Saccharomyces cerevisiae S288C: one gene and its partners. Changing the gene in region 2 together with the main gene of any one other region gives a genetic interaction. Each region holds a gene or a part of one and is shown on either strand. Other genes may lie near its edges.

Region 1 (3,843 bases), on a different chromosome or scaffold from region 2:
GGAAGAAAAAAGACAAGCACTCAGAGCGAATCAAGAAACTTCTAAAATGAATGATATTGCTGAAAAATTGGCTGAGCAAAGAAGGGCACGCGCTGCAAGTGATGATAGCGATGACAACAATGATGAAAACATGGACCTTGATTAATCGGAATTTTTGTCTATTTGGATTGTTCCCTCTTTATTCTTTCTTAAATGAACCACTAGTGCTTCATTATGTGCCCTTTATACATTACCTCTATATTCAATCTTCTATTATAAAAATGATAATTATTTCTACATAAGCCGTTATAAGAATTTAATGAAAATTATGAAATAACATACACAAAGTGCACATGATCTTATAAAGTTTTACTTGTCCTATGTTTCAAAGTATGAGAAAATTCTTCATATCATGATAATGTTAGGCAACCAACTATATATGCAGTTTAGAGGCTTAAAGCAATACTATTACAAATGGAAGAGGCGTCGTTTCCATTTTCTTGACCTGGTAAAACTTTCCAAAGAACTGTATTGTCCAATTTCTTTCCATGCTGAATCTGAATATATCCAATCAGTTCCGTCCCAATTATCATTGATCCAATGCCAATTATTGGGTAATTCTTCTTCACCAAGTCCATCTGGGGGCAAACAACTCCTCATGGTTAAAGTTCCATCAGTGTTTTTAATTTCTATGCAGTAGTTTTGTCTTTCGTACGGCAGTAATTTTGTACTCCAATTTTTATTTTGATACCACCTTCTTTGATTTTCGTATACTTCAATTTCTAGTATTTTAAGGTCTTCATTACCAAAGTTATCTTTTTGCTCATTAAGTAGAAGCTGTAGAATATGAATGTGGTCATCACCCTTCTTGTCCCGAAGTAGTTTAGGCAATACCTCTACCAGTGGCACCGTGATTGCACGTCCTTGAGATAAAGGAATAATTTGTTCCATCTTTAAGTGTTTTGGTAAGAAACTCGAAATTTTAAAACTTTCAATCCCCAAATAATAGAAATTCCTAACAGCAGTAAACCTCCAAAGTAGCCTTAAGGTAGCTTGAAAACTACTCGTATTGTATATCAAGCCGGTAATAATAAAAAATCTAGTATAAGTTCCCGGTGATATGTATCTCATGATAATAATTTGAAAAATTGTACCGAATAAGAATAATCTGCAAAACAACCTCTTGCCAGAACACTCCTTATTGACGCCATCAAATGAAAGCTTTAATTTTTTCCAAACATTCAGCTCGTTTCTCAGTACTTCCAGTTTATCCAACACAGACTCTAGTAGCACGACAATTTCATCCAATGTAGGAGGTTCCGTGTCTCTTAACGAAGCTATCAATGAAACAATATAATACATGAATGATAAGAATAGAAATGCCCCGCTTATAATGCCTAACCATAGTCTCAAAATCTTTGTAAATGGCAGAAAATGGCTAGCCTCTGTTTCAACGGGGATAAAAAAACTTATGGTCAGCCATATGCTCGTTAGATAAATGAATGTTAAACATTTATCGTCGGACAGCCACATTATATTCGCTAAGGCATTGTCGAATATTAGTAGTAGTGGATATGCGTGAAACAGAGTGCTGGAAATCATTGGAGGTGTAATTTGGATAAGAGAGGGCTTTTGCCCATGATTATGTATAAATTTCGCCTTAATTTTTTTATTTTCAGTTTGTACTTTGGTTTTAGAATTTGTGTCCATTTCTTTCCTTGAAATTAGCAAAATGATGTCCACTGAACTAAATTAAGATCAATGAAAGAAAAGAGAAAGTATGAAGTAGTTTCGAGTGATTGCACCTTCTTCATCAATTCTGTTTACCCTTGCAGTTGGTGTTCCAGTAATTCTTGGAAATAAGCATAAAAGGGTATTTGTTTCGGGGATAATTTCTTTACTTCCCCACCAGGCTGTTGAATTGAATATGAAAATGGTATGACAACAATAATGTCTAAAATTCCCAAATCAATTTGGTAAAAATCTGTCCAGCTCAATATGGTTGAATAATCATGAGAAGTACATCAATAGTCTTCTCATGTCATTTCGAAAAAATGTTTTTTCTTCATTTTTTTCCTGCGATTGTTTGACCATTTGTTTAATTTCACTCTCTGTAAAGAGCTACTTAACTATTCAGAAATAAGCAATAAGATTGACGGTCAAAGAAGAAAAGAGAACTCTGCACCCAGGATGGCACTCAAAAAGAATACACACAACAAATCTACCAAACGAGTAACGAAACACCCATCTTTGAAAACTCTAACGCATAAGCAAATACACACAACAATTTTCGTTAAGTCTACAACACCATACGTTAGTGCACTGAAAAGAATAAATAAGTTTCTCGATAGCGTTCATAAGCAAGGATCATCCTATGTTGCGGTTTTGGGTATGGGTAAAGCTGTAGAAAAGACACTGGCATTAGGTTGTCATTTTCAAGATCAGAAGAACAAGAAAATAGAGGTTTACACTAAAACTATAGAAGTTCTTGATGAAGTAATAACTGAAGGCCAAGCTGATATCGACATGGAAAGTGATGTTGAAGATGACGATAAAGAAACCCAACTAAAGAAAAGGGCTGTAAGCGGTGTAGAATTGCGTATTTATGTTTAATATGTCATACTTTTAGCGCTCATTGTTATTGTATACTATTTATAGCTAACAGTTTATTATTAGATTTCCTCTAATAAGCGTTATACCAGTGTAGTAAGTTTATCACTTCAGCTATGTGTCATTTTTTTTTTTTTTTTTTGAGGCCTTATATGAAAATAAGCTTTGAAGAAAGTGATACTGGAATTATTCAAACCAAGAAAAGTTTTTAGAATTACAAGAATACCGTAGCACTTGAAGGAAAGAGGACAGCATATCCACTTGATAAACATGGTATCAGAGGATAAGATTGAGCAATGGAAAGCCACAAAAGTCATTGGTATAATTGGTCTGGGTGATATGGGCCTATTATACGCTAATAAATTTACAGATGCTGGATGGGGTGTTATATGTTGTGATAGGGAAGAATATTATGATGAACTGAAAGAAAAATATGCCTCAGCTAAATTCGAACTGGTGAAAAATGGTCATTTGGTATCCAGGCAAAGCGACTATATTATCTATAGTGTTGAAGCATCCAATATTAGTAAGATCGTCGCAACGTATGGACCATCTTCTAAGGTTGGAACAATTGTTGGGGGTCAAACGAGTTGTAAGCTGCCGGAAATCGAGGCTTTCGAAAAGTATTTACCCAAGGACTGCGACATCATTACCGTGCATTCCCTTCATGGGCCTAAAGTTAATACTGAAGGCCAACCACTAGTTATTATCAATCACAGATCACAGTACCCAGAATCTTTTGAGTTCGTTAATTCTGTTATGGCATGTTTGAAAAGTAAGCAAGTTTATTTGACATATGAAGAGCATGACAAGATTACCGCTGATACACAAGCTGTGACACATGCTGCTTTCTTAAGTATGGGATCTGCGTGGGCAAAGATAAAGATTTATCCTTGGACTCTGGGTGTAAACAAATGGTACGGTGGCCTAGAAAATGTGAAAGTTAATATATCACTAAGAATCTATTCGAACAAGTGGCATGTTTACGCAGGATTAGCCATAACAAACCCAAGTGCACATCAGCAAATTCTTCAATATGCAACCAGTGCAACAGAACTATTTAGTTTAATGATAGATAACAAAGAACAAGAACTTACTGATAGACTATTAAAAGCTAAGCAATTTGTATTTGGAAAGCATACTGGTCTCTTACTATTGGATGACACGATTTTAGAGAAATATTCGCTATCAAAAAGCAGCATTGGTAACAGCAACAATTGCAAGCCAGTGCCGAATTCACATTTATCATTGTTG
Region 2 (3,843 bases):
TCCCATAAAATGGAAGTTATCAATATTGTAAAGAGAAGCATTTACAAGCTTTTATTTTTCTTTTTAATTTCCACTACTGGTTCTGCTTTAAAATGTTGTTTTATAATTTATGTACATTTAGGCCTATAGAAGATTCTTTCAATAATATGCTACACATTCTTTTATTTTTCCATCATATGTTGGAGTTTATGCCTCCTCGGCAGGAGTTGGGCGGTGCGAAGAGAAGAAAAAGAGTGAAACTAAAAAAAGGAATCTGCCTTTGCATAAGTTCAAAAGTGCAATTTTAGTGTTGGATTTAAACGGGAAAAATTGAAATGGCCATCGAAACAATACTTGTAATAAACAAATCAGGCGGACTAATCTATCAGCGGAATTTTACCAACGACGAACAGAAATTGAACAGCAATGAATACTTAATTCTTGCTAGTACACTGCACGGTGTATTCGCCATCGCGAGCCAGCTGACTCCGAAGGCATTACAGCTAACTCAACAAACGAACATCGAAAATACCATCCCATATATACCTTACGTGGGCATGTCCAGCAATAGGAGCGATACAAGAAATGGAGGTGGCAATAACAACAAACACACTAATAATGAAAAACTGGGCAGTTTTAAAGGAGATGATTTTTTCAAAGAACCATTTACGAACTGGAACAAGAGCGGATTGAGACAACTATGCACGGATCAGTTCACGATGTTCATATATCAGACCCTAACCGGCCTGAAGTTTGTCGCTATCAGCTCCAGCGTCATGCCCCAGAGACAGCCAACTATAGCCACCACCGACAAGCCTGACCGACCCAAGAGTACATCCAATTTGGCCATCCAAATAGCCGACAACTTCCTAAGGAAGGTTTACTGTTTGTATAGTGACTACGTCATGAAAGACCCATCTTACTCAATGGAAATGCCTATAAGATCTAACCTGTTCGACGAAAAAGTCAAAAAAATGGTAGAAAACCTACAATAGACGCACGCGCCATCGGAAGATAAACGCATTCACACCAAGAAAATAAATACTACGTACTTCTAGAACTAAGAAGAAGTTGCCGCTCTCCGTCTCCTCCTTCATAAATAGGGATAGCTTTTACTACTACGTACGAAAAAAGACCACACTGCGACGGATCCTCTGCATCCCAACACCAGCGATAGAAAATGCGCCGCCTATATCGTCATCTTGCTTCCTTTTTCTTACTCCCTTCCTGCCCTGGAAACACCATACAATCCATCACATCATATCCTGCCAATGCACTATTACGCAGCTTTCGGCACGTGAGTACGGAAACACCAGTTCGGAACCGGGTACACAATAGGGATAGTCAAAGCTGTCCATTTTTTCCGCTGATGGATGACTGATACCAAAGTGTAACCCAAAAGGGGTAGTCGATCCTACTTTTACCAGTTACGTTAAAGGGACCAAAACGTGGGGAAGGGATGCCGCCACCACCACCGCCACTACCCCCGCCAACATGGCCTAACTTAGCAGTCCTCGCTTGTGTATCTAGGTCCGCGTCCGCTAATTCGCGCGGCTTGCCACTTAACCCCGTCCAGTTAATTTGCCAAGCAGCGGCCGCACGTTGGAACGTTTTCGCCGATTTATTTATTATTATTTATACATGTTGACGTTGGTGCCCTTTTGTTTATACTGGAGCCTAAAACGTACCTCAATTAAATTTAGTGTGCCATATTATAGTGCTATTAAACCTTTATTTTTATTTTTAATTTTAAAACTGCTTTGGTTCTCTCCCTCCCTTACCGTTGCCACCTTAAGACTCACTGATATTTATTCATACTTACAAGTGCTATAAGAAAAGACTTGATTTATTAGCTTTACAGCGTTTTTACATTTGTGTCACTGCTATTATATTTTTGTTTACCTCTTTTTGTTGCTGGTGTTGGCGCTACCATTGTTTTTTTGTTTTATGAGTTACGTTTACAAAAGTTCTTAACATTTACTGTACGATAATATACTAAGGTGAAATACTAAAGTAAAATAAAATAAGAGAAAGAAAAAAAAAAAAAAAAGAAAAAAGTAATGATGATGTTCCATAATTGCAGAATTAATAACTACTTAATAACTTCTCAAATTGGCGAAGGCGCGTACGGTCTGGTTTACCGTGCCTTAGATATTCGTACCGATAGACAATACGCTATCAAAGCGGTTGTTCAAAGTTACGGTGTTAGCAAGGAGGCTGATATGGGCAATGATAAAATACACAAAAATAGCGTGAAATTGCAAAAGAAGCTCGCTAAACTGTTCAAGGAATCGAAAAACGTTGTCAGGGTGCCCTCTATAGATCTAGAATCAATTGAGAATATGTCAGAAGAAGATTTTAAAAAGCTGCCCCATTATAAAGAGATTTCGCTACACCTAAGAGTCCACCATCATAAGAACATTGTCACCATACATGAGGTGCTACAATCTGCAGTCTGCACGTTCATTGTCATGGATTATTACCCAACAGACCTATTCACGTCTATTGTAGATAACAGACATTTTGTCACTAATGGACTGCTAGTAAAAAAGGTTTTTCTACAGATCTGTTCTGCTCTTAATTATTGCCATGAGCACGGCATCTACCACTGTGACATCAAGCCTGAAAACTTGCTACTGGATACAGAAGATAACGTTTTCCTATGCGATTTTGGTCTATCCACTACTTCCACATATATAAAGCCAAATGTTTGCATTGGTAGCTCGTATTATATGCCCCCTGAAAGAATCTCATTTGATGGGAGAGTTTCCAGCTCTAAAAGTGGGGGACATAAGTTGGGTAAGGTTTGTCCCTCATGTAATGGCGATTTGTGGTCATTAGGTATCATCCTTATCAATTTGACATGCATCAGAAATCCCTGGCTGAAGGCTGACAAAACCGAGGATAATACCTACTATTATTTCACTAAGGATCCCAATATACTAAAGCAAATCCTACCGCTTTCCGATGACTTTTACTCATTATTATCTAAGATTTTACAAGTGAATCCGAAGAATAGAATGAGCTTGCAAGAGTTGATGAAAGAAGTTAGTTCTATTACAAGCTTCACCAATGAAGGCCCGTTATCAAAAGTGCCGCCTCTTTCCAAGTCTGTTTATGAAAAGTTCGTTAGCCCCGTCGATAACACGAATGAGAATTTGTCTCCAAAATCCTACGTGTACATGCACGATAGTAAAGCTGCCAAGAATTTATCTTATACATCTTCAAGTGAGGAAGAAGATGGAATCAAAGAAGGGATAGACGATGATAATGGCAGTCGCAGTGGCAGTTTCGGAACGCTAGACACAGACACTGGATTGCATTCTTCGTTCACAAGCACTTCTTGCGAGTCCGATAACGAATGTTCTAAGATTTCCAACAAATTTTCCTTGTTCGAAAAAAAATTCAACGAACTTCGCATGAGTTCCTCTTCTTTAACTAACTAACCCCCTCCTTTTTGGCACAAAAGTGTACTACACATCTGTTTTAAGCCCACAATTGATAGACCTTCTCTTGATGATCATCTGTTTTCCCGAAAATATTACTTGCCAAAGCAAGTTGTAGTTATATTCACACTTCCGTTATGACCCCCTCATCCGTTTAATGTTATTTGTTTTTATGGTATTCCCTTTATTCATTTTTTTTCTTGCTTTTTTTTGTTGATCCCTGTAACCCCTTTTTTTTTTTTGGAAGTTGCTATTATTATTCATTCACATTTGTTCTGTCTTTGTTAATTTTCCAGGTCACCGTATTTAATTTCTATATAACTGTTTCTAATATTTACTTCGTTTTATCCAAGCGTTATTTACTCAATATTCAAAACTTTACTTTTTACCACCTGTATAACATCTTTTTCAATTTGAT
Region 3 (2,782 bases), on a different chromosome or scaffold from region 2:
TTACCAGGACACGAGTCAGTCGGCACTTGTCACTACCGACGGGGCGAGTCAACTGAAAAAAAAAATGAAAAATTTTGAAAAAAAAAAAAAGCTGCTTACTGCCACTATTAGTCACGGTATGAACAACGGCAGTTGAAGATTAGACGATTTCTTAACGCTTAGGTAGTTATTAGAGTATGATATAGTAGATTCAAGTTTATGATATCTGTCTGTCCCTGTGTGGGGTTGTAGTAATGCTGTGGCTTCTTTCTTGTTACTTAGATATGGCGTTGCAGAAGGAACGTACAAAGAGGTGCTTCTTCATCCGGGGGTCTTCTACTTTTGTATGGCTCTTGATCGCCACCGTGTAATCGAGCCCTTGTGGCTTCTCTAAGGTACCTGTGTGCGGCCACTTTCTTTATGGTTGGTAACGTATGGTGGCATCTTTCACAGACGGATAAGTGCGGTTTAATTCTTCACTTAAATCTTGAGGGCATCCAATAGTTTCTGCAGAATACCAGCTAAACGCCCCAAAGAACGATGCTGCGTGTAACAACCTTGGCGTCTTCGTGTACTTCATTTCCCTTACAGGTCCTCAGGAGGCGGTTGACCATATCTTCTTTGACAAGCTTCCAACCCACAACCAAGACACAGGTCGTGGTCATCGGTGCTGGACATGCAGGCTGCGAAGCTGCAGCTGCGTCATCTAGGACTGGTGCGCATACTACTCTCATTACACCATCGTTAACAGATATTGGTAAGTGTTCGTGCAACCCCTCTATTGGTGGAGTGGGTAAGGGCATCCTTGTAAAGGAAATCGACGCTCTCGATGGGCTGATGGGCAAAGTAACTGATCTCGCTGGAGTGCAATTCAAAATGCTGAACAGAAGCAAGGGTCCTGCTGTGTGGGGGCCCAGAGCCCAGATAGACAGAGAGTTATATAAGAAATACATGCAAAGGGAACTTTCCGACAAGAAAGCACACCCCAACTTGTCTCTGCTGCAGAACAAAGTTGCTGACTTGATCTTGTATGACCCCGGATGTGGCCACAAGGTCATCAAAGGTGTGGTTCTGGATGACGGTACCCAGGTTGGGGCAGATCAGGTCATAATCACTACAGGTACGTTTCTCAGTGCAGAAATTCACATCGGCGACAAGCGTATTGCAGCAGGAAGAATTGGCGAGCAGCCAACATATGGGATCAGCAATACTCTACAAAATGAGGTGGGCTTTCAGTTAGGGCGTTTGAAAACAGGCACTCCGGCTAGGCTGGCCAAGGAATCCATTGATTTCAGCGCTCTGGAGGTCCAGAAGGGAGATGCGTTGCCTGTCCCTATGAGTTTTCTGAATGAAACCGTGTCAGTCGAACCCACGAAGCAACTGGATTGCTTTGGCACACATACCACACCTCAAATGCACGACTTTTTGCGCAATAACTTGCATCAATCCATTCATATTCAGGACACGACCATCAAAGGCCCCCGCTATTGTCCCTCCATCGAAGCTAAGATTCTAAGGTTTCCTGATAGATCTTCCCATAAGATATGGTTGGAACCAGAAGGTTTCAACTCCGACGTCATTTATCCGAACGGGATATCCAATTCTATGCCTGAGGATGTCCAGTTACAAATGATGAGGCTCATCCCGGGCATGGCAAACGTTGAGATCTTGCAGCCGGCATACGGCGTGGAATACGACTACGTAGACCCACGGCAATTAAAGCCTAGCTTGGAAACAAAATTGGTGGATGGACTATTCTTGGCCGGACAAATAAATGGTACTACAGGCTACGAGGAAGCCGCTGCACAGGGGATCATTGCAGGTATCAATGCAGGATTACTATCGCGCCAAGAACGGGAGCAATTGGTCTTGAAAAGGTCCGAAGCGTACATTGGTGTGCTCATTGACGATCTAATCAATAATGGCGTCATAGAACCATATAGAATGTTTACTTCCAGATCAGAATTCAGAATCAGCGTAAGAGCCGATAACGCAGACTTCAGACTGACGCCCATTGGTGCTCAACTAGGGATTATATCTCCTGTCCGTTTAAGTCAATATTCAAGAGACAAGCACCTATATGATGAAACAATACGGGCGCTTCAAAATTTCAAGCTAAGCTCTCAAAAATGGTCTAGCTTACTACAGGCTAATATCGCGCCACAGGCTGAAAACAGATCTGCTTGGGAAATATTCAGATTCAAAGATATGGATCTACATAAACTCTACGAGTGCATTCCCGATTTACCCATTAATTTGCTGGACATCCCAATGCATGTTGTCACCAAAATTAACATTCAAGGTAAATACGAACCTTACATTGTCAAACAGAACCAGTTTGTGAAGGCATTTCAGGCAGACGAAAATATGCTGTTGCCGCAAGATTACGATTACCGTCAGTTACCCACGCTTTCCACTGAATGCAAACTACTCTTGAACCGCGTACAGCCATTGACCATAGGCCAAGCAAGACGGATTCAAGGTATCACTGCGGCAGCCCTATTTGAACTCTACCGTGTGGCACGGAAGCCAAGCCAACCAGTCATGTAAATATCCTTTAATCGTTAGCTTGTATATGTAAATAATTCATTGTATGTAACCATCAAATTCGTTATTTAGCAATCTTACCCGGAAAACTTCTTGTATCGTAACATTAATTCTCCCTTACAAGGGGACCTCGATGAATAAATAAAGTGTTTGTGTTGAAGGTACTTGCAAAAGGGCAACTCACTGTCGTTTATAATTTGATTTACTAATCGCATCTGTATTTGGAAAAGCATTTCTTTTTGGAAGAGGAACAAGA

Evidence for each region.
Region 1: mutations in VHS1 (region 2) and PEX32 together harm fitness more than expected from each alone (negative genetic interaction), as found in Saccharomyces cerevisiae (3 studies listed by BioGRID).
Region 3: mutations in VHS1 (region 2) and YGL235W together harm fitness more than expected from each alone (negative genetic interaction), as found in Saccharomyces cerevisiae (3 studies listed by BioGRID).

What each region holds. Positions count from the first base shown.
Region 1 is NC_001134.8:570,217-574,059, reverse strand, and holds PEX32 (Pex32p), read right to left. Parts: upstream 1,690-3,843; coding exon 448-1,689; downstream 1-447. Other genes in the region: adenyl-nucleotide exchange factor SSE2, read left to right, coding at 1-145; ribonuclease P/MRP protein subunit POP7, read left to right, coding at 2,170-2,592; TYR1 (prephenate dehydrogenase (NADP(+))), read left to right, coding at 2,860-3,843.
Region 2 is NC_001136.10:953,974-957,816, forward strand, and holds VHS1 (putative serine/threonine protein kinase VHS1), read left to right. Parts: upstream 1-2,039; coding exon 2,040-3,425; downstream 3,426-3,843. Other genes in the region: MNN10 (alpha-1,6-mannosyltransferase), read left to right, coding at 1-8; TRAPP subunit TRS23, read left to right, coding at 315-974; YDR246W-A (uncharacterized protein), read left to right, coding at 1,160-1,360; YDR248C (gluconokinase), read right to left, coding at 3,785-3,843. UniProt on the Saccharomyces cerevisiae protein: Probable serine/threonine protein kinase involved in the G1-S transition.
Region 3 is NC_001139.9:53,534-56,315, reverse strand, and holds YGL235W (uncharacterized protein), read right to left. Parts: upstream 1,038-2,782; coding exon 501-1,037; downstream 1-500. Other genes in the region: tRNA modification protein MTO1, read left to right, coding at 520-2,529.